3 linked regions of the Stegostoma tigrinum genome follow. The protein of the gene in region 2 interacts with the protein of the main gene of each other region in a pairwise test. Links are inferred from orthologs where the notes say so. Each region holds a gene or a part of one and is shown on either strand. Other genes may lie near its edges. The genes, in order: ranbp9, oprm1 and gap junction alpha-4 protein-like.

What was found.
Region 1: the proteins of oprm1 (region 2) and ranbp9 interact in binary tests that used the Homo sapiens proteins (3 or more experiments, as listed by UniProt). The link is inferred for Stegostoma tigrinum from reciprocal best matches to the Homo sapiens genes OPRM1 and RANBP9.
Region 3: the proteins of oprm1 (region 2) and gap junction alpha-4 protein-like interact in binary tests that used the Homo sapiens proteins (3 or more experiments, as listed by UniProt). The link is inferred for Stegostoma tigrinum from reciprocal best matches to the Homo sapiens genes OPRM1 and GJA4.

What each region holds. Positions count from the first base shown.
Region 1 is NC_081355.1:38,960,865-38,968,558, reverse strand, and holds the start of ranbp9 (ran-binding protein 9), read right to left. Parts: upstream 3,103-7,694; 5' UTR 3,012-3,102; exon of another isoform or gene 2,744-3,011; 5' UTR 2,734-2,743; coding exon 2,544-2,733; intron 1-2,543. UniProt on the Homo sapiens protein: May act as scaffolding protein, and as adapter protein to couple membrane receptors to intracellular signaling pathways. Acts as a mediator of cell spreading and actin cytoskeleton rearrangement.
Region 2 is NC_081362.1:94,689,269-94,696,926, reverse strand, and holds the start of oprm1 (mu-type opioid receptor), read right to left. Parts: upstream 3,095-7,658; 5' UTR 2,844-3,094; coding exon 2,569-2,843; intron 1-2,568. UniProt on the Homo sapiens protein: Receptor for endogenous opioids such as beta-endorphin and endomorphin. Receptor for natural and synthetic opioids including morphine, heroin, DAMGO, fentanyl, etorphine, buprenorphin and methadone.
Region 3 is NC_081377.1:16,332,492-16,340,040, reverse strand, and holds the start of gap junction alpha-4 protein-like, read right to left. Parts: upstream 3,026-7,549; 5' UTR 2,804-3,025; intron 1-2,803. UniProt on the Homo sapiens protein: One gap junction consists of a cluster of closely packed pairs of transmembrane channels, the connexons, through which materials of low MW diffuse from one cell to a neighboring cell.

The sequences.
Region 1 (7,694 bases), on a different chromosome or scaffold from region 2:
TGACAGTTGGACAAAAAGTTTCCAACACTGTTGGGAGATCTAGGTCCACATTGTTGCCTCAACAAATCACACCTGTTATTTTATTATCTGGCACTTTTAAGGGTTAAATGACAAATCGCTGCAAGCAGTCACTAGTTCAGGAAACATCTGTTTAAAAAAGTTGAAATTTCAAGTATAGACTCTTTATTCACAGAAAGGCCACATTTCTAAAATGTTACTAATCTAATGTTTGAAATTTCAAGTTGTATGAATTCTCAAATACTCGCTGACCTGTAAGTGAAAATGCCAGAAACAGAGTCCAACATCTGCAAATTTTTGACACTGGAGGCATATTAAGTCATATAGGGTCTAACTTTATGTTGTTTTATCCAACTGACTGCCTGCGGATAATTAATTTCATGGATACTGCATGGGCGAGGCGTCAACTTGGTTTTAGTTGAATTCTGAAGGTTGAGAATTCAAACCTCATTCAGGGACTTGAGCACAAAAGCTAGCTGTGACTTCAGTGTGCTCTCAAGGCTTTATCAGAAGTCCTGCACTTTGAATGAAAGCAAGATTTGATCATGTCCCAATAGTTCAAGCAGAAGTTAAAGATTCCTGGTATTATTTGTAGATGAGTAGATTTACCTAGAGTGCAAAACCAAAGAATGAGGGTTGAACAAAATGCAGCTAATCTTTAGATTTTCATTTCCAAAATTTAAGTTCAATCACTGCAAAACACAAACAATTGACGTAACCTAGCGAGAAGGTCTGAAGGTACCTTCAACATTAAGCAGAGACAATGCCAAGACTTACAAAAACATTATTGTAGAGTGGTCACTGAGGAGCAATAGATACAGTACTCTACTGTCTAAATAATTTACTTGAAAAACAACTGCAGTCATGCTTTGGTGTCATTCTGCAGAATGGAACATTTTGCATTAAATGACATCACTGAGTAATGATACCTCAAATGAAAAGCACAGATAATATTACCCTGACATCTGAGTACACAGGGGAGAGGAGGCTGCATGACATTTGTAAAGAAACAGTTTAGCAGGATAAATAAAGGAAACTACAGCGTTAAGGTTATTTTAACAATAATTTGAGTTTGTAAACTTAACAGATTAAGAAAGTAAGTATAAAGTTACCCAGGATTCACAGACAAAAACTGTGATATATGATCAAAGAATTCAAAGCAGTGATTGGATTTGTTAATATATTAAAGAAAATTATTGATTTGTTACCAGCTTCAGTTTTGCACTGTAACAAGTCCACTTCAAACATAATGAACAAAAATATCCAAAATTATAGTTGTAAAATTCTTGGCTCCAAGCCAGTTCATCCATTCTATATTATTTGGAGATACACCCTGACATGAAATTAATATTTAGAAGCTGTGTTCTGAAATAATCTGCTTCTAACTTTTTTCTCTTTCTTCTCAGTTTTCAACCTACCCTTGCTTTTGGATCCTTCGACAAAGAAAACAGAAATTCAATGGGGTTTGCAATGCAAGGTTCCCAAGAACTCAGCCCACTGCCCAATCTCCTCTTACTCAGGACACAAACAAACATTTTCAATGGGAATCAGTCACTCATTCTATTCAAACCGAATTAAAACTTAGGTCATTCTCTAGTCCTCATTTTTGAAAAGATGGGAAAAGGTCACATTGCAACTCGTTGCAATCCATTGCTCTTCCTTAACAGTCGATACTGATTTGTTTTTGCTGGTTGGAGGCTAAAGGGCTTCATTTTGTTTTTTTTAAAACTAAAGTTGCCAGTTGTTCACATAATGTATCGTTTATATATTGAATGTTATAGACACTTGCAAAACAGTCCCTCTACCACACATTGGATTTATTACAATCCATGTCCGTTTTAGAAGTATCTTACACACATACTCTCAATAATAGTTAACTGGTGACCCAAAATTCACAATCATTGACTAGTTAGGGTCATGTCTATCTCTATGGAGATCTTTCGTGAACTAGCTTTGTTTTCTACTTACGTGTATTTTTAAAATGTTAGATAAGTTTTAAGATCAGATCTTTCTCTACCGCGAGGGCTCTTTCACACTCAATTAAAAGCAAATATTTCAACTGTATTTAATTCTGTTGATAGTATTCAACAAATAATCTCAACAGGCCATGGCCCAGATGTCATTTATGGACATAGTGCTCAAGGCCCGTCACCACCGCGCCCGCCACACCGCTCGCCCCACCCCCAACTCCCCAACTCATTTCCTCACTGTGTACGGAAGTGTATGTTCCAAACTGTGGTGTACAAGTCTTGGCCTGTTCACAGTCGGTGCATGTAATCAGTCTTGGCACTCATCTTATTCCAGATAGTTCTATGTGACTAATGTGGCTATATGACACCCCTGTATAGGTATTTGGTGGGATTCGGTGGCCTCTCGTATCAGTGTTAACTGTTGCTATGTAAGGCCAGGGGCCTGGTAGTCGGTGCCTATAAACTGTAGCTGCCATCCACCCTCTTTGCCTTTTCTTTAGCTGGGCTCAGTACCAGTGTCAAGACGTCCCTGGGTGCCAGGGGCCATCCGCTTACCTTTATAATGGACCCGCAGGTTGTTCTGAGACAGGCCGATGTAGCTGTACTTATCCTTTGGGCTCCAGCATCTCGGCAGCGGCGACTCCTGCTCGTTGACAGCGGGGTAGAGCCGCTTGAAGCGGTCGGTGAGCTCCTTCTCTTGAAGGTTGAGTGCCGACTCTCCGTGCGCCGCCGACAGCCCAGCCATGGGTGCGGATCTGTGAAGGACGGGAGGAGGGGTTAGGCCAAACCCGGAGCCTGAGCTCTGGGTGGATGTATAATGGGCCGGAGACGGTCTGGATCAGGCTCCGAGCCCCGGATGACGAGACTTGGAAACCCGGAACGGCGACCGATGCCGTCTCCCTTCCACGGCCGCGCCTTATGAGCCCTCAGCCCGTTCGTTCACTGAGAGCCCGACCGACCGACAGCCAGCCTGCCTCCCTCCACCCGGTCCGTCCCCGTCCCCAACTCCAGCTCCAACCCAACTCAGTCGCTGCTGCATCCGAATCTGACTGAGTGACTCTCTTCTATGTCCGCCTGTCTCCGCTCACTGACAGGCCGCCGCTGCCCAACCCGCTCCTCATTGGCCACCCACGCTAAACCATCGCGGCTGGGGGGCGGGGCTAAGCTCGGGGCAGGGGAAATGCTGCAGAGAGGCTAACTTCCTATGAGGGGGGTCTCCGGAGGGAGGCGAGTAAGGAATGAATGCAATAGACAGGGTGAGGGAGTGAAGCAATGCAGAATTGGAGAGGTGGGGATAAGGGGTGAGGAGGGATTAAATGGCAAAACATTCCACAATAATGGGTAAAGAAGCAAAAGATGTGTACAGACGAGTTGTGCATGGCTGAACATCAGAGTGGAAAGTGAAGGAATAAAACAGATATACATCAGTTGGAAAAAAGAAGCACTGACCATCATCTAAACATAAGAGTTAACAAGGTGTAGAGCTGGATGAACACAGCAGCCTCGAGCAGGAAAGATAACGTTTCGCTTTCGTGCTCTTCTGATGCTGCTTTAGACTACTGTGTTCGTCCAGCTCCACACCTTGTCACCTCAGATTCTCCAGCATCGGTAGTTCCTACTTTCTCTGAATCGATCATCATCCAAATTTGTGCTCAGAAGGCTGTAAACTGCCAAGTCCAGAAATGTGGTGTTGTTTGAGCTTACATTGAATTTAATTAATATGCTATGGCTGCCCAGAGACAGGAAAGTCAAGATGGTCAGAATTTGGAAAATTGAAATGGCAAACGACACAAAGATCATTGTTATGCTTGGAGCAGAGTTGTAATAGGAATTAGGATAAGAGTGAGATCAGGTATGCAAGATAAAGGCTTGGATAGCAGCACTGCTGGAGGGGTATCTGCAGTAATTAACAGCATTTTTTCTGAGACCCAAGAGATTGGAGATTCATTGACACCACTTGAGATGGTGGTGTCTGCTTTTGCTGTGTTTCAAAAAGAAATAAAATAATGTCTATTTTGGACCTTCAAAGATCATAGTACATTACAGAGCACTTTATAACATAGTTTAAGAATACTTGAAATGTCTGTAGAGTCACAGAGGCATGCAGCATAGAAACAGGCCCTTAAGCCCACCATCTCTGAGTCATAGGGTCATTGGGTACACAGCACGGAAACAGACCCTTCAGTCCAATTTGTCCATGCCAAACAGATTTCCCAAATTAAGCATTTGTCTGTGTTTTACCCACATTTCTCTAAACCTTTCCTTTTTGTCTACCTGTCCAAATGTCTTTTAAATGTTATAACTGTACCTGCATGAACCACTTCACCAGACAGTTCATTCACATATGAACCACCCTCTGTGTGAAAAAGTTGCTCCTCATGTACCTTTTAAATCTTTTTCCTCTCACCTTAAACTTACGCCCCCTAGTTTTTAATTCCCCTCATCTAGGGAAAAGGCCTTGATTATTATTTCATCAACCTCTAAGGTCATCCCCCAACTTCCTACACTCTTAGGAAAAAAAGTCTCAGCCTATCCAGCCTCTTGTAATAACTCAAACTCTCCTGTCCTGGTAACAACCTGGTAAATCTTTTTTGCACCCTTTCCAATTTAATAATATCCTTACTATACTAGGGCCACTAGAACTGTACACAGTACTCCAAAAGTGGCCTCACCAATGTCTTGTACAGGTGCAACACGACAACTCCTGTACCAAATGCTCTGACTAATTAAGACAAGCATGCCAAATGCCTTCCTCACCATGCTGTCTACCCATGATGCCAATTTCAAAGAACTGTGTACCTGAACCCTTAGGTCTCTCTATTTGCAACAAAAACAACTTGGCCTCATTTATATTTAGTTGGTGAAAGTTCTGGCTGGTCTCACACTTGACACTGAGCAACTAGATTGCATGGCAACTAGTGTTTGAGTTGGAATTTAGTATTACTTTCTCTGCTGTGGCAAATTTTACACTTTTTAAAATTCATTTGTGGGATGTGGATGTCACTGCCTGGACAGCATTTATTGTCCATCCCTAGTTGCACTCGAGAAGGCAGTGGTAAGCAGCTTCTTGAACTAGTCCAATATACTTGCTGTGGGTTGAACTACAATGCTATTGGGGAAGGAATTTCAGGGGTTTGACCCAGAGATAATGAAGGAATAGTAAAATATTTCCATGTCAGGATGGGGAGTGGTCTGGAGGGGACCTTGAAGTTGATGGTGTTCCCACATATCTGCTACCTTGTCCTTCTAGATGGAAGTGGTCATCTGAGGATTTTTGGTGAATTCCACATATCACATATCATTCATCACTCCAAGCATTATATAAAACAGGTAATAAAATTCTAGAATATGCATCTTATTTTACTCTTAAAACAAGCACTTCAGGAGATTGAATTATCACATAACAGCACAATCAGTGGGACTTTGTTAACCTCTTTCTAGGTCTAGAGATGGTTGATAAATGGCCGCTTGAATTTGATTGTACTTTGCCAAGTGGAAAAAATGTGCAAGTGCTTTTTGAAATTTGTGATTTATGAAAAGCAAAATGGAACAGTTACTAATGACCACTACCGTCCATTGACAATGAAATTAATGACCATTGATTTTTTTTTGGTGTTGGTTGACAGAAAACTTTGTCAAGGCATCGGGAGAATTCCCTACTCTTCAGTGCCATGGTTTCTTGAAATGACTTGCAGGACACGCAAATAAAACCTTTATTTTAGATTTCAAATGGATGGCAAAGGTGAACGCATCAGAGCATTCATACTACACTGGAGCATCAGCCCACATCATGCATTCTAGACCTGGTTCAGGAACCCTCTAGATCAGAGGTGAGGCTACCAATTAGAGCTGTTTTCATCCTAGCAGTATTTTATTCTGGGTTTCCACAACCAACAGTTGGCTCTTTTCATTTAGATTGTTGAATTAAATTATTCACTCCAGTGGGAAATTGAATTCTAGTTTGAAGAGATAAAAAGAGCTGTATTTAACTCTATAAATATTGGAAGTGAGCTTGGATTTGGTTAAGAAATGTTAATGATGCAAGTAATTTAGCTGAAGCTCCAGCAGCCTATAGCATAGCTTGACCTGTAGAATTCTTTTTTGCCAGCAGTTGCAAAATAAAAGCGAATCAATTCAGTTTTAAAATTGGTTAAACAAATCCTAATCCTTGAAAAATTGGAATTTTGTTGGCAACTCTATGCTGACCAACAAACACCAAACTACATTAATTCCATTTACATTTGCTGTTAAAATGCATGAAATGGGCAATCAACTTGCACACAGTAAGCTCCCAGTAGCAATGTGATAACAACCAGTTAATCTGCTTTGTAAAACAAAAGCAAAATACAGCCTGATACCAAAAATCTGAAATAATACAAAAAAAAGACCTGGAGCTATAAAGCAGGTTAGGAAGCGTCCCATTGGAAAAACAAGGCTGGTGTTTTAGGTTGAGATGATCATTCATAAAACTGAAAAAATTTTGTTGATCAAGGGATAAGTAGGATTAATCTTCTACTCTTCCATTGAGTGCTTGTCTTCTGGCTGTTTTTACCAGTCTATTTCAAGTCAGTCACATTTCTAATGTTCATAATACTGACTTCATTCTAAATAAAACTGGCATGATTAGATGAAAGTACTGCTAACAAGGCCGTCTTTCTTAAAATGACTTACTCAATGGGTCATGTCCAATAGGTGACACAATACATATTTCAATGAATACATATTTTCATTTTTATTTCACAAATCATATCATTATCAGTAATGATTTCTTCTATGTTACAATATCACATTATATCCGGAACGCCTACTCGGAAGAATTAGGAGTTGGCATAAGGTGTGGAGGCAACATAGAATGTGAGTTGTGAGGGCCTGTGGTAGCAGTGGGAGTTAAGCAGAACAACTTGTGCACATCTTTCAGTATTCTGCTACTAAATGGTGTGTTTGTGTGCAGGTACTGCCCTTTGAAGCACACTCCTAATCAATAACAGTCAATTTAAAAATGAGCAGTTTGGTGCAGTTACATCATTGTTAGACCACTGATCATTGGCTCAATCACTGAGGTTGTTACTACAAAACTGATAGGGCTGCTACCAACATAAATGGAGATTTCTAGACTGAAACACTGATCTCAGTAGTCAAGTAGGCCAGCATTCACTGCTCCAATTATTATGTCAAAACCAACAATGACCAGAATTTTCACTGAAAACCAATAACTTCTATTGAATATCATGGGGTTTCCCAATTATTGTCATGTACTCAAATACAGAAGTATTGGAATACAGTAAAAAGTGTACAAAGTCACCCTTCTCTGGCACAATCCGACATACAAAACCTCAAATTTAAAACAAAACTAAGAGGCAAAAAACAGAATTTTTAAAAAAGCAGAAATACAAAAAAAAAACAGGAGCCAAGAAAGTAATATGAAGCATCCAGATCTAAAAGTCTTATCTCCATAAGGCAGTCTTTTTCCCCGTAAGTGGGCCTCCCTCCCCAAAGCCTCAAGTCTCAGTGCCATTGCTTCCTCAGGCTCTCAGAACTCTCTCCCACTGCCACCACTGGCCATCAGAACAAGTTCCTTATGTTGCCTCCACTCGTTATGCCAGTTCCTAATTCTTCTGAGTAGACCTTCATGATTTAATGTGATATTGTAACATAGCAGAAACCCGTTTGTGAAATAAAAATGAATTATACAGTAAAATATATACT
Region 2 (7,658 bases):
GCCGACAAGTGGCAAGTAACATTAATGCCATACAAATGCCAGCTAATTCCCAATAAGAGACAATGTAACTACCGTCCCTTCACATTTAATGGTGTGACCTTACAATCAACATCTTTGGCATTAACATTGAACTCAACTGGACTCACCACATAAACACAATGGTTACAAGATCAGATCAGATACTAGGAATCCTACAATTAATAACTCACCTCCTGACTCCCCAAAGCCTGTTCACCATCGACAAGGCACAAATCAGGAGTGTGATGGAATGCTTCCCATTTGCCTGGATGAATGCAGCCCCAACAACACTCAAGAAACTTGACACCATCCAGGAAGCACAACGAGGTCTAGGTGTTCTTGTACATCAGTCAATGAAAGCAAGCATGCAGGTGCAGCAGGTAGTGAAGAAAGCTAATGGCATGCTGGCCTTCATAACAAGGGGAATTGAGTATAGGAGCAAAGAGGTCCTTCTGCAGCTGTACAGGGCCCTGGTGAGACCGCACCTGGAGTATTGTGTGCAGTTTTGGTCTCCCAATTTGAGGAAGGACATTCTTGCTATTGATGGAGTGCAGCGTAGGTTCACAAGGTCAATTCCCGGAATGGCGGGACTATCATATGTTGAAAGATTGGAGCGACTGGGCTTGTATACCCTTGAGTTTAGAAGGATGAGAGGGGATCTGATTGAGACGTATAAGATTATTAAGGGATTGGACACTGTGGAGGCAGGAAGCATGTTTCCGCTGATGGGTGAGTCCAGGACCAGAGGACACAGTTTAAAAATAAGGGTTAGGCCATTTAGAACAGAGTTGAGGAAAAACTTCTTCACCCAGAGAGTGGTGGATATATGAAATGCTCTGCCCCAGAAGGCAGTGGAGGCCAACTCTCTGGATATTTTCAAGAAAGAGATGGATAGAGGTCTTAAAGATAGTGGGATCAAGGGTTATGGGGATAAGGCATGAACAGGGTACTGATTGTGGATGATCAGCCATGATCATAATGAATGGTGGTGCTGGCTTGAAGGGCTGAATGGCCTACTCCAGCACCTATTGTCTATTGTCTATTGCTTGATTGGCATGACATCCACAAACATCCACGCCCCTCCCCTCTGATGCTCAGAAGCAGAAATGTGTACTATCGACAAGATACAGTGCAGAAATTCACCAAAAATGGTCAGACAGCACACTCCAACCTCATAACCACTTTCATCTAGAAGGACATAGGAACATCACCACCTACAAGTTCCTTCTAAGCCATGTACCATCCTGACTTGGAAATATATTGCTGTTTCTTAACTGTCACTAGTTCAAAATTCTGGAATTCCTTCCCTAAGGGTTTTGTGGGTCTATCTACAGCACATGGACAGCATTGTTTCAAGAAGGCAGGTCACTACCACCTTCTCAAGGGCAACTAGGGATGGGCAATAAATGTTGGCTGGCCCAGCTATATCCACATCCCATGAGTGAATTAAAAAAAAGGATATTGAGTGGTGGGTGGGTTTGGATGGTTATTAAATTGTAATAGAGCTATTATTACTCGAGAATAGGAAAAGAGAACAAGAACCTTTTTTGCAGCACCTTTCGGTGTGAACAAGTCATACGAACCTCAAACTATTCACTCGGATCCTCTCTCTACGGATGTGCTGCCAGATTTGCTGAGTTTTTCTGGCATTCTCTGTTGTTGTCTCAGATTGAAATATCGAGTCATTCAAATTTGCTGATAGCCTGAGACTGTGTCATCTTCCTTCGGCTCTTGATGACCTGGTCTGCAGACTGGGGTGGAGTTGGATGCCACGCCGGTGTTAGAATGCAGTTGGTTGAAAGGAGGAAGCATGTGTGATTTTCTCTATCAGTATGTCACGATGTCAATTTTGTCCTTCCCTCAGGGATAGCACTAGAGTTTCACCAGTGAATATGGATGGGGTTGGGGAGAGGTGTTGGTGAGAGGAGAGTGGAGGAGTTGTAATTAGGTTTTGAGGAGCGCTTAAAGGTAGTTCCTATTGAAAACGTGAGAAAGGAGTTTATAAAGAAGTAAAAATGTACGTTGAGGATTGACTGCACGATTTGAAACGAGGGTCCATCTGAGGGTTCTTTAGACGCTGCATTCCCACACTTACCGGTTAGATGGCGCTGTTTGAGCAACTAAGACAAGTGGCAAACCCATCCCGCCCCACAGATATCTATTAAATACAGCTATTAATCCATAAACATTCAATCAGTCCACAGATACGCAGTTATTAACGTGAAATTCACGCAATTCATCTCTACGAAATTGAACTGTGCCGAACCTCTCAAATCCATGCATCAACATTGAATGTGCAGTAGTTCGTAAGGTTATGCACATTGGCTTATATGTAAACAAGAACATTGTACTGAAGTTAGACGCCAATACTACCAATCAATGAAGTGAGGCGAGTGAGAGATGGTACTCTAGTCAAAATCCATTGATGCTGACAGAGGTTTCGCGAGAGAGCCAGAGAGAGAGAGAGAGACAGACAGACGGAAAGACACACAGATAGAGAGGCAGCGAGAGGGGAAGGACGGATGTCTTGGAGTTGAGACTGTACGTTACCTGACAATCACATACATGACCAGGACGTTGCCCACCAGTCCCAGCACACAGACAATGGAGTAAAGAGCAGTGATGATGATGGCGATGATGATTGAAGCCGAACTCTTGCTCAGAGGGACGTTCTCGGTGCCGTTACACGGGTTCGAGCTCGAGTTGATGCAGAGATATGACCAGTTGGCTGAGCCCAGGCTGGAATTCATGGTGGTCAGGCTAGTCTGGCAGAGCTGGGACCCGTTGGCAGCTAGATCAATGCAGGGCTGGGCGAGTAGCTCCATTGCAATGTTTTTCTTTTGTTTTTAGCAGAACGTAAGGGATTTTTTTCAAATTAAAAAAAGGAGCACTGTTGATTCAAAACTTCAGCAGATCCTCAGATGTGATAAGTGCGACGCACCTCCTGGTCAGTGCAATGCTCTGGGTGAATTGAGCTCACTCAGGGCAGCAGTAGCGAGAAGCTCAGCGTTCCTCACGTTATATGCGAAGGGAACACTGTTGGTGCCTGGGCATCCAGGCTGTCTGTGGCACTGGTTGATCCATCTCCACCTCGTCTGATTTTTTTTTATTCTGGACGTGATTCGCCGCTTTATTGGAGGGGGCTGACGTCAACCCCTCCCCATTCCCCTCGCCTGTGATTGGAGTGTCGGAGCCAGCACCTGGCCGCAGTATCAGTTAAAGGTATCAACTGAGCACCGGAGCGGGCTCTGCGCTGTCCATGGTGCTGAAACAACGCCGGCTGCAATGCAACGGGGGCTAGGAGTCCGAACAACCGGGAAGTTACTGGATGGGGTTTAAGGACACAGAACAGAGAGAGAGAGGCGTTAAACTAAAGCGTCCTCAGCAATAGCTCTGTCCCATGACGCTTGAGAAGTCAGCCCTTGATACAGTGAGATGAAATTCATCCAGGAGGGAGCTGGGGATTCAATGGAATTGAAGACATTGGAATGGATTTTCAGTTGAAGGTGATGCACAGTTGGGTGATTGGAAAAGGGTTTATTATGTTAAACAGACAGTTTCTGCCACAGTCACAAATACGGTCATTTCATCATGACACGTGGGTTATTGTGCTTTGTGGCTGGTCCTTGGCCCTGTGGCTTCCTTCCGTTGACATTTACAAGGAAATTTTCATATAAATAATCAAGCAGTTGACTGCCATATTCATTAAGTGCCACTTATGTGAATCCTTAGAATGTGTGGAGATTACTGTTTTGAGAAGAGAACAGTTCACAATCATTCATTGCTGTACACTGTGCACCCCAAACCTTCCTGAACAGATAGGTGCAGGATCTGTAACTTGCAGGTCATTAAACAACTATGTAAGATAAATGCAAAGGATTTGACACTTTGGAGGATGCAAACCATCTGAGTTAAAAGAAAATTAATGGAAGACTGGCATTTCTATAGCATCTTTCAGGGATTCAGGACATCCCAAAGCATTTCATAATCAAGGAAGTTTTTTTAAAATTTGTAGTCACTATTAGAATGAAGGAACCAAGGCAGTCAATTTATGTATAACATGGTCTCACAAGCATCTTGAAATAACCATAGATTATTTATATTCGCCTGTTTTTTTGCATGTTATACCTGAAAAGCAGAACTTTGGTAGTTCAGCACTGCCTGTGTCAAATTAGGTCATGTGCTCAAGGCCAGCAGTTTGAAATCTGAACTAAACAACCTTCTGACGCAGACATAACAACATTATCCACCAAATCATTGATAACACAGGGTGATGGGTTATCTACCCTTCCACCTCCCCCCAAACTCAGTGACATGCCTATTTTCTTCCTACATGTTCAGCAACCTGCTATGGACTACCCACATTTCTTAGTTCCCTCTTAGATTTGAAAGCTTTGCTTTCTCTGTTGTAGATGTCTGCCTGGCAAAGTTTCATTGAGATTGTTAAAGGCATCTTTGACTTCCTCAGGCAACCTCAGTGACATGCATCATCCAAAAGGCTGCAACAAAATTCTCCTTCTTGATCTCAGATAGTTCTGAAGACTGAGAATGAGTCATTCTATGCGGGGAGAGAGGAAGATAGCTTTGCTAAGACATGGAACTAATTTAATCTCATTCAAGTGGTGCTTGCCATTGAGAACAGGTAGAGAATTCTGAAAGACATCTGCTACCTTCTATCACATACTTGATTTCTTTGAAACAGAGTGATTGGCAACTTATTGTGTAGAGATTTGTTCCATTCAACTTTGTCATTCTACTCTCTTTTTGATGTTGAAGATAATTGAAAAAGGAACCAGAGGGGAAATGATCATATTTTCTTTTATGTAGTGAGTTGTTGTGATCTGGAATGGACTATTCTGAAAGGGCAGCGAAAGTGGATTTAGTTATAATGTTTAACAACAAATTATGAGCAGATGGCTGAGGTGTGAGTGGGGGAGCACTTTGGGACCAGTGATCATAGTTCTATTAGTTTTAAGATAATGATGGAAAAGGATAGACTGGATCTTAAGTTTAAAGTTCTAAATTGGAAGAAGGCTAGTTTTGATGGCATTAGGCAAGAACTTTCAGAAGTTAATAGGGGACAGATATTCCCAAGTAAAGGGATGGTTGAAAAATGGGAAGACTTCAAAAATGAGATACCAGGTGTCCAGAGACAGTATGTTACTGTTTGGGTGAAGGGCAAGGTCAGTAGGTGTAAGGAATGCTGGATGATTAGAGAAATTGAAATTTTGGTCAAGATAAAGAAGGAAGCATATGTCAGGTATCGATTGCAGGGATTAAGTAAATCCAGTAGAAGTATACTTAAGAGGAAAATCAGAAAGCCAAAAGGGGGACATGAGGTAGCTTTTGACAAATAGAGTTAAGGAGAATCAAAAGGGATTCTACAAATACATTAAGGCAAAAGAGTCACCAGCAAATGAATAGGGCCCTTAAAGATCAGCAAGGCTGCCTAAGGGTAGAACCACAGGAGATAGATCAGACACTAAACAAGTATTTTGCATCAGTGTTTATGGTGGAGAAGACTATGGAAGCTAAAGAACTTCGAGAAATAAAGAACAACTTCTTGAAAAATGACCATATTACAGAGGAGGGGGTGCTGGACACCTGAAAATGCATAAAAGTGGATAAATCCCTGGGGCCTGATCCAGTGTATCCTAGAACTCTGTGGGAAGCTCAGGAAGTGATTGCTGGGCCCCTTGCTGAGATATTTCTGTCATCAATAACCACAAGTGAGGTGCTGGAAGACTGGAGTTTGGCTAATCTGTTGCTCTTATTCAAAAAGGTGGGAAGGAAAAGCCAGGATCTATAGCCCACTGAGCCTGACATCAGTGGTGAGCAAGTTGTTGGAGAGGATTCTGGTAGACAGGGCTTATATGTATTTGGAAAGGCAAGGACTGATTAGGGATTGTCAGCATGGATTTGTGCATGGGAAGTCATGTCTCACTAACTTGATTGAGTTTTATGAAGAAGTAACAAAGAGCATTGATGAAGGCAGAGCATTGGACATGATCTATATGGACTTCAGTAAGGCATTCAACAAGGTTCTGTGAGTAGACTGTTTAGGGAGGTTAGATCTCACAGAAAACAAGGAAGACTAGACATTTGGGCATAGAATTGATTCGAAGGTGGGAGACAGAGGGACGTGGTGGAGGGTTACCTTTCAGACTGGAGGCCTGTGACCAGCGGTGTGCCAGGAGGATTGCTGCTCAATTCACTACTTTTCATCATTTATACAAATGATTTGGATGTGATCATCAGGGGTACGGTTAGTAAATTGGAAGATGATGCCAAAATTAGAGGTGTGGTGGACAGGGAAGAACATTACCTCAGAGAAAAATGGGATGGTGATCAGAAGAGCCAATGACCCAAGGAGTGGCTGATGGTGCTTAATTCAGATAAATGTAAGGTGCTGCATTTTAGACAGGCAAATGAGGGCAGGACTAATACACTTAATGGTAAGACCCTGGGGAGTGTTGTTGAACAAAGTCCTTGGAGTGCAGGTTCATAGTTCCTTGAAAGTGGAGTCGCAGATAGACAGGATAGTGAAGAAGTTCTTTGGTGTGCTTGCCTTTACTGGTCAGTGCATTGAGTACAGGAATTGGGAAGTCATAGATAATGGGAACTGCAGATGCTGGAGAATCCGAGATAACAAAGTGTGGAGCTGGATGAACACAGCAGGCCAAGCAGCGTCTTAGGAGCTCAAAAACTGATGTTCTGGGCCTAGACCCTTCATCAGAAAAGGTTTCTTCAGAGGCAGGAGGGTAACTTCTTCAGGTTAGGCCTGAAACATAAGCTTTTGTTCTCCTAAGATGCTACTTGGCCTGCTGTGTTCATCCAGATCTACACTTCGTTATCTCTTAATTGGGAAGTCATGTTGTGACTGTACCAGACGTTGGTTCAGCCGCTTTTGGAAAACTGTGTTCAGTTCAGGTCTTTCTGCTATGGGAAGGATGTTGTGAGACTTGAAAGTGCTCAGAAAGATTTTCAAGGATATTGCCAGAGTTGGAGAGTTTGAGCTATAGAGAAAGACTGAATAATCTGGGGCTATTTTCCATGGTGCGTCGGAGGCTGAGGGATGACCCGATAGAGGTTTATAAAATCATGAGGGGCATAAATAGGATGAGTAGACAAGGACTTCTTCTCGGGGTGAGGGACCCCAAAACGAGAGGGCATAAGTTTAAGCTTTAAACGAGATCAAAGAGCAACTTTTTCGTGCAAAGGGTGGTGTATATATGGAATGAGCTGTCAGAGGAAGTGGTGGAGGCTAGCACAATTACAGCATTTAAAAGGCATTTGGAAGGGTATATGAATGGGAAGGCTTTGGAGGGATATAGATCAAATGCTGACAAATAGAAGTAGATTAATTTCGGATATCTAATCAGCATTGACAAATTGGACTGATGGATCTGTTTCTATACTGTACAGCTCCATTACTCTACATTTATATAGCAAATTGTATCAAAATGAAATGATCACAAGGTGCTTTAGAAGAGGATTACAAAGTAACATTTGATACCAACTCAACTACAAAGATACGAGGACAAATGATCAAAATATGGATCAAAGCAATAAACATTAAGAGGCATTTTAAAGCAGATTGCACCTGAAGAGGAGATGGTGAGTGTCTTCTTGAACTGCTG
Region 3 (7,549 bases), on a different chromosome or scaffold from region 2:
CACTCTAAATTTAATTTGCAAGGCATGAGAATATATAAACTTCCAAATTCATCTGGTTTGTAACTTTAGGGAAATGATAAAATATGATAGTCTTTGGATTTGAAAGAACAAGACTTGCAAATGGCACCCACTGCTGTAATGTTAAGTGAAAATACTCCAATACAACTCCAACGGTAGCAGTTACTTGTTTCACTCTGTTGTTCTAGTATATTATGTTTTTACACTGCTGGTGTCAATCACACACCATCAAACTATCAAAAGAATGTGGCAATGATCAACCCACCTATAAGTAACCTTTACTTCCTTTTTGGCAATGAATTTATTAATTAATGTGAATTGATCATTCCACTGTGCTATTGAAAGTGGAGCATGCTGTTTGGACTAAGCTCTGAGTTCAGGCTAAGCAATCTTAAAACAACTTCTAGGCTTCTTTGCCCTTCTCCTTGGTGCAGTGTCATTTCCCATCATTTCTCATTGCGATAATGTTTTTCATGCCATGCACCCATCTGGGATCGATATCTGTAACTCTTAATTTCTTTTCAGACGAGCTAGTTACAGATTCAGCGTCTGGTTTAGATTTCTTTTGAGGGGTTTGCCACTTATCCTCAAGCAACAACCATTGTTGAAAGTTTTATTTACGGTGTTGGTCAAAGTTTTCTTGACTGCATAAGCTTTGATGGACACACAATACGTGCAGCAACTAATACTGGCATAAAATTAAGGTACTATCATCAAATCATGTAGCATAAGAGGCCATAAGGCTCATTCTGCGTAGGCAATGTCTCATGATGCTGCACTTTCCCACAGCCTTGCAAATACTTTTCAAGTGTTTACCCAATTCCCTTCTGAGTTATTAGCATATCTGCTCCCACGACCTTTTCAGTGAGTATTTTCCAGATATAACAACCTGCTGTACATTTCATTCCTTATAATGCCTCTGGGTGTTTTGTCAATTGCCTTAAATTGGCAATCTCTAGTTACCAGTACTTTCATCATTGCAAATAGTTGCTCCCTATTTAATCTAATTAAAGCATTAAATAATTTTGCACATGTATAATAAATCTTTCTGTTAATCTCTTCTGTTCTAAAAAACCTCAGCATTTCTAGAGTCTTCACATAATTGAGAACCAGAAAGCTTCTAAAGATCGGAACTGTCGGTATGAACACAAAAATTGCCTCAGGTTCTTTTTCTGCTTCAAGAAGTTTTGTTGCCATTCTCAAAACATTGATGAAGAACCATGAAGTGGATGCGTTCATCAAAATATGCTAAAATGAGGTAGTGTGACTTACCCCATGGTACATTAAAATTGCAGATGGAGCGATAGATAATTTAGGGAAAAGGTGTGCACTTTTGGGGATGGAAGCTTGATGGTTACTCTGAGACCCACAGATAGTGTGCAATGTTCAGGAAGGTTCTAATATTTATGAGGTGAAGGTAAGAGGACTGAACCATATGCCTGAATGCAGCACCAGACAGTCAGTTTTTGCTGATATTCATTGCTCTTCATTGTGAAAACCTTCATCAAATTAGCTGTAATAAGTGATCTGGGATTGGTCCACTTTCAAAAAAGAAGGGCCAGCCTTGAGGGAAGCTAGCTGTCCTGTAGTAACTACTGGTACATGCTGAGTCTTGCCCAAATGCCCAGGTTGTCTCCATCATATTATGTGCCAGGTGATGGAACAACTGTAAAGATGAGTAATTGAACTGATGTTGAAAATGACATGGGATTGCTTTTCAGTCATCACTGTATAAGTCACTGCCATGGATCCATCTTATCCATTCAATGTATCTACCTTGTCCCATGCTATGACTATATAACAGTTCCTTTGTGTGGAGTCAGAGACCATTGCTCCATGCCTCACAAGTGAGTAAAGCACTACAGAGAAATTATAGTTTTAATTGTTCTTCACTGTAACAATGGGCAAGGTGTGCCTGCTGAATCTGGATAGAGTTAGTCAAGCAAAAGAAGAATGCTATCATGTTATAAATTCAATCATTTGATGTCCAATTTTTCTCATGTCTATTCTGATTGGCACCTATGACAAGGAAGAGAGTGAATAGAGTAGGGGAAAATGCTTTGCCAAGTAAGGGTTGCCAGTTGATACTCAAATGGCTCACTTTTCAAACTGTTAGAAAGCTCCGCTGGATTTAGCACAAAGCTCTGGGAATTCCTGCAAATATTCACACCTGACCAGGTAGCAAGCCCTTCACAAAACTGGCTCAGTTTCAGTGGCTACTTGTGGGTTGTGATATTTTCCAAAGTAACAGCTAACAGAGAACGCTGGGCACTTAGTGTCATCCCGGTAACAGAAATCTTACAAACGGGTGCACCAGTAGCTCAAAAATCAGAGGAGAATGTAGAAATCTGAACAACTCAGAGACACCTCCCGGAAGGTGCCTGAAATAAAAATGATTGTGTTCCCTGTTCAGTTTCAGAACGCACGAGAAAAGTCTCAACAAAAAATTCCACACCTGCAATAACAACGAATCTCTGAAATAAACAGCATGGCAAAGACAAACTGAACGAGTCCAGTGTTACAGTCCACTTATCTCTACCTGTCAATCAGATGTAAGTTGCACTCACGGCATTAGCCTTTACATATTTACCGTGTAAGGGAAACCTAAAAAAAAATCAAATAAACTGAATATTCAACCCTGTGGAGATACGGCAATTCATTACTTTCCTCCTGAAATAGCTTCTTTTAGGCATTTCTGTTAACACTCCCATAATGATCGGTTACATAGAGACCGCCATCAGCCTCCATCCGTTAGTTTAGTAGGGACTGGAATTCAATAACTTACCAAGAGTAAGTTTATAAAAGATACAGGACGCTGTAACCCGACACCCGGCCTTCAGGATTTGTCCCGTTCTACTAGGAATGTTTCTCAGAGTTGAAACATTTTAAGGGGAAAGCTCCTCCAACGTCATCTCTGAAGTATGTTGCGGAATCAGAAGTTGTGCATTGTTTTTTTTTGACAGGAGATGTAGTTGAGCAGGAATGTATGAGTCCTGTACAGCTGACAGCTTCCAGCAACAGGAAGGAAATCAGCTGCATGAGCAAGCTCTGTCTACTTCTCCCAGGCTAACAGCTCCCAACAACACGAACTGCATTGATCCCGGTGCTCCGTGCGTTTTCTTCTGTGCAAGCAAGATTGATAGCAAATATTACAGGTCCATTGTTCTCAATCCAGCACTTATTATTGGAGGGAGACTGAGGCAAAAACAGTCTTTAGTCATAGAGGTCTACAACACAGAAAGGATGAACCTCAGCCCATCTAGTCTGCGCCCGTCAAAAATAACCATAGGGTCATAGAGAAAAACTGAAATTGCTGGGAAAGCTCAACAGGTATGGCAGCATCTGTAGGGAGAAATCAGAGTTAAAAGTTTCAGGTCCAGTGACTCAGAATCATGGAGTTGCACAACACAGAAACAGACCCTTTGTTCCAAACTGTCCGCACGGACCGGACATCGCAATCAGACCTAGTCCCATTTGCCAGAATTTGACCCATATCCCTCTAAACCCTTCCTGTTCACGTACCCATCCAGATGCCTTTTAAATGTTGTAATTGTTTCAGCCTCCACCACCTCCTCTGGCAGCTCATTCCATAGACGCACCACTCTCTGTGTGAAAAAATTATCCAAGTCCTTTTTAAATCTTTCCCCTCTCACCTTAAACCTCTAGTCTCGAACTCTCCCATCCTAGGAAAAAGACTTCAGTTATTCACCCTGTCCACCTAATGATTCTAATCCAATTTTCCAGCACTTGACCCATAGCCTTGGCATCGAAAGCGTACATCTAAATACTTCTTAAATTTTACAAGACTCTGACTCTATCATCCTTGCAGGCAGCAGGTTTTCCAGCTTCCCATCACCATCTGAATGATTTCTCCCCTCATGTCCTGTCGAAACCTCCTGCTCCTTATCTCGAATCTAGCCTCTGGTCCTTAATGGGTGTGAGAAGGTGTGGAGATGCAGAGTTGGGAATTTCACTCCGATCAGAAAAAGGTAGCCTTTTGCTTTCTTTGTTCAACCATTGATGTTGTGAGAATGCTCAAGATTTAATGCCAAATGGCCAGAAGGAGGATAAACGTTATATCAAATGCTCCAGAGAAGTCCCAAAGCATTGGTGGCACAGTGGCTCAGTGGTTAGCACTGCAGCCTCACAGCACCAGGGACCTGGGTTTGATTCCCCCCTCGGGCAACTGTCTGAGCAGAGTTTGTACATTCTCCCTGTGTTTGTGTGGGTTTCCTCTGGGTGCTCTGGTTTCCTCCTACAGTCCAAAGATGTGCAGGCTAGGTGAATTGGCCATGCTAAATTGCCCATAGTGTTCAGGGATGTGTATATTAGGTGGATTATCGGGGGATGGGTCTGGGTGGGATGCTCCAAAGGTCAGTGTGGTCTTGTTGGGCCGAAGGGCCTGTTTTTACACTGTCGGGGTTATATGATTCATTGAGCAGTGTATTGAGGAACACATCTCTAATTCATGTCAATTGGAGTTGATGTTTTGGGAAGACAATGTTATGATCAGAAGAATTTGGGAAAATGGCTCTTTGAGTACTTAAGAGTCAAATGATCTTTTCTCAACCTTGATCTTTCCTCTACTTCATACCTTGGAAAATATAAGTTGTTTCATGAAAAGTTAGTCCAATCACTGTGGCAGTCAAACTAATTCCCCATTAAACTGTGTTACACTTGCAACAATTAACCCATTCCTCAGATTAAGCTTCCTGCCCAGAACTAGATTGTAGTATTGATCTACTGTTTAAACTAATGAACATGGTGCTGCACATTCATAGCATAAAGATAGCCTGAGATTTCACATAGTACTTGGGAAATTGTGTGAACAGATGTAGGTGACCAAATCTGAAAAAGATAAATCTCAGTGAGAGAGGTCATCATCTGTGAACAACATTCAGCTGCTGAGGGGTGATTGTTGCAACTGGGCACATAAGGATCACTTTCTGAGCTCACGGACCAAAGGTCTCCAAAGTAGCCCAGGCATGAGGGGTTAGAACTGAGTGGGCCTGTATTTGTAGCTCAGTAGACATTCTTCTCTGCATGTTGATTGGTGTTATTTAGTACGATGCAGTCTGGCTGTTGTTGCTCAGGTCAGGGCCTTATTTGCACGGAATTCACTAAACTGTTCGAAAGAGGATAGAGATTGTGTAATATGGGATATACCCCTTTTGGTGCACATTTCTTTTAAGTGGCTTATTAATGAAATGCAACCAGACATGATCTGTTCCTGGAGACTGAACAAACCGGAAATCGTAATCATTGTGTCATACTCCACTGCACCCATTGTGTTGCTAAGTAGCTAAATAATGGAAAATTTAGAGCATTGGTTTTTTACAGCCTTGGTTTAAACGTGGTCAAATGAACTGAATTCCAGAAGTGAGTTGAGAATAACAGCCCTTGATATCAAGGCCAAATTTTGACCAAGTGTGGCATTGAAAAACCAAAGCAAAACTGGAATCCTTGAGTAACAGGGGGCCAAATTTCCACTGGTCGGAGTCATGAGGTTGTTGCAGGTCTATCATCTCAGTGCCAGGACATTTCTGCAGGAGTTCCTCAGGGTGGAGTCCCAGATCCAACTGCCTTCAGCTGCACAATCTTCCCTCCATCATAAGGTCCACAAATTTACACCACACAAATTCCAGGCAATGACCATCTCCAATAGGAGACAATCTAATGACTGCCCCTTGATATTTAATGGTGTAACTACCACTGAAACTGTAACCATCACTGAACTAATAACAACCTGGGGTTACCATTGACCAAAAACTCTACTGGACTCACTACCTAAACACAATGGTTACAAGAGCAGGTCAGAGGGAAGGAATGCCGAGGCGAGTAACTCAACTCCTGACTCCCCAAAAGCCTATTCACTATCTATGCCACCAAGGATCAGGTCAGGAATGTGATGAAATACTCCCCAATTACCTGGATTGCTGCAGCGCCAACAATGCACAACAGCTTGACCTCATTCAGGACAAAGCAGCCCACTTGATTGGCAGCACTACATCCACAAGCATCCACTCTCTCCACCACCAACACTCAATAGCAGTGTGTACTATCTATAAGAAGGACTGCAGAAATTCACCGAAGATCTTCAGTCAGTATCATCCAAACCTATAAACACTTTCATCTAGAAGGACAAGGGCAGCAGACATCTGGGAACATCACCATTTGCAAGTTCCCCTTCAAGCAGCTCGATACCCTAATTTGGAAGTATATTGCCAATCCTTCACTGTTGCTGAGTCAATACTGTGGAATTGTGGATCAACTACAGCAGGTGGACTACAACGGTTGAAGAAGGCAGCTCACCACCACCTTCTCAAGGCCAACCTGTGATGGGCAATAAATGCTGGCAACCAGTTACACTCATATCCTATGAATGAGTTAATAAAAAGTAATCCCCCATAAGGATGTAATCTTCCCTATGCAGTGTGAATAATTGAGTAGTTATCTTCTTTGAAGGAGAGGATAGAATATTATGCAGATGTAAAGACTCCCTCTGCTGTTGGAGATGCTATGTTTAGAATACCTTACTTAGATTTGTGAGTTGTTGAATATCTTGATTCATCCCTGGCAAGTATGCAGATTGACATGATAATTGGCTTGAGCAGTCAATACCCATATACCCTTTGTATAACATATACACAATATATTGGTGTAATGTTTTTGGTATTAGGACTTGTCTTCCTTTGAAAATTACTTGTTGCGATGTCCCAAATTTATCTCTGTATACCCAAAACTAACAAATCTTCTCAAGGATAATGGGAACTGCAGATGCTGGAGAATCCAAGATAACAAAGTGTGGAGCTGGATGAACACAGCAGGCCAAGCAGCATCTCAGGAGCACAAAAGCTGATGTTTCGGGCCTAGACCCTTCATCAGAGGACATCAGCTTTTGTGCTCCTGAGGTGCTGCTCGGCCTGCTGTGTTCATCCAGCTCCACACTTTGTTATCTTGAAATCTTCTCAGGTACTTCTTTAATCCTATCAGAACATCTGAGAATTTTGGTCTTTAGCTGTTCTTGTAGTTGTACATTCGCAAATGTTTTTATTGTCTCTGGCCAAAGTGTAGTTGGATAAATTTGAGAATGGCCTGACTGATTTCAGGGATGTTGGATCTGACATATGAGGAGAGATTGACTAGGTTGGGAATATTTTTGCTAGAATTCAGATGAATGAGGAGGATTTCATAGAGACTTATAAAATTCTAATAAGACTGGACAAGGCAGATGCAGAGATGCTGTTCCAGGGGTCACGGTATGAGGATTTGGGGTAGACGATTTAGAATGGAGTTGAGGAGACATTTCTTCGCTCAAAGAGTGGTGAGCCTGTGGAATTCATTACCATAAGAAGTAGTTGATCTCAAAACATTGAATGTATTTAAAAGGCAACACAGTGTGGAGCTGGAGGAACACAGCAGGCCAGGCAACTCAGAGGAACAGGAAAGTTGACATTTCAGGTCAGGAAGCTTCTTTCTGAAGAACTTTCCTGCTCCTCTGATGCTGCCTGGCCTGTTTTGTTCCTCCAGC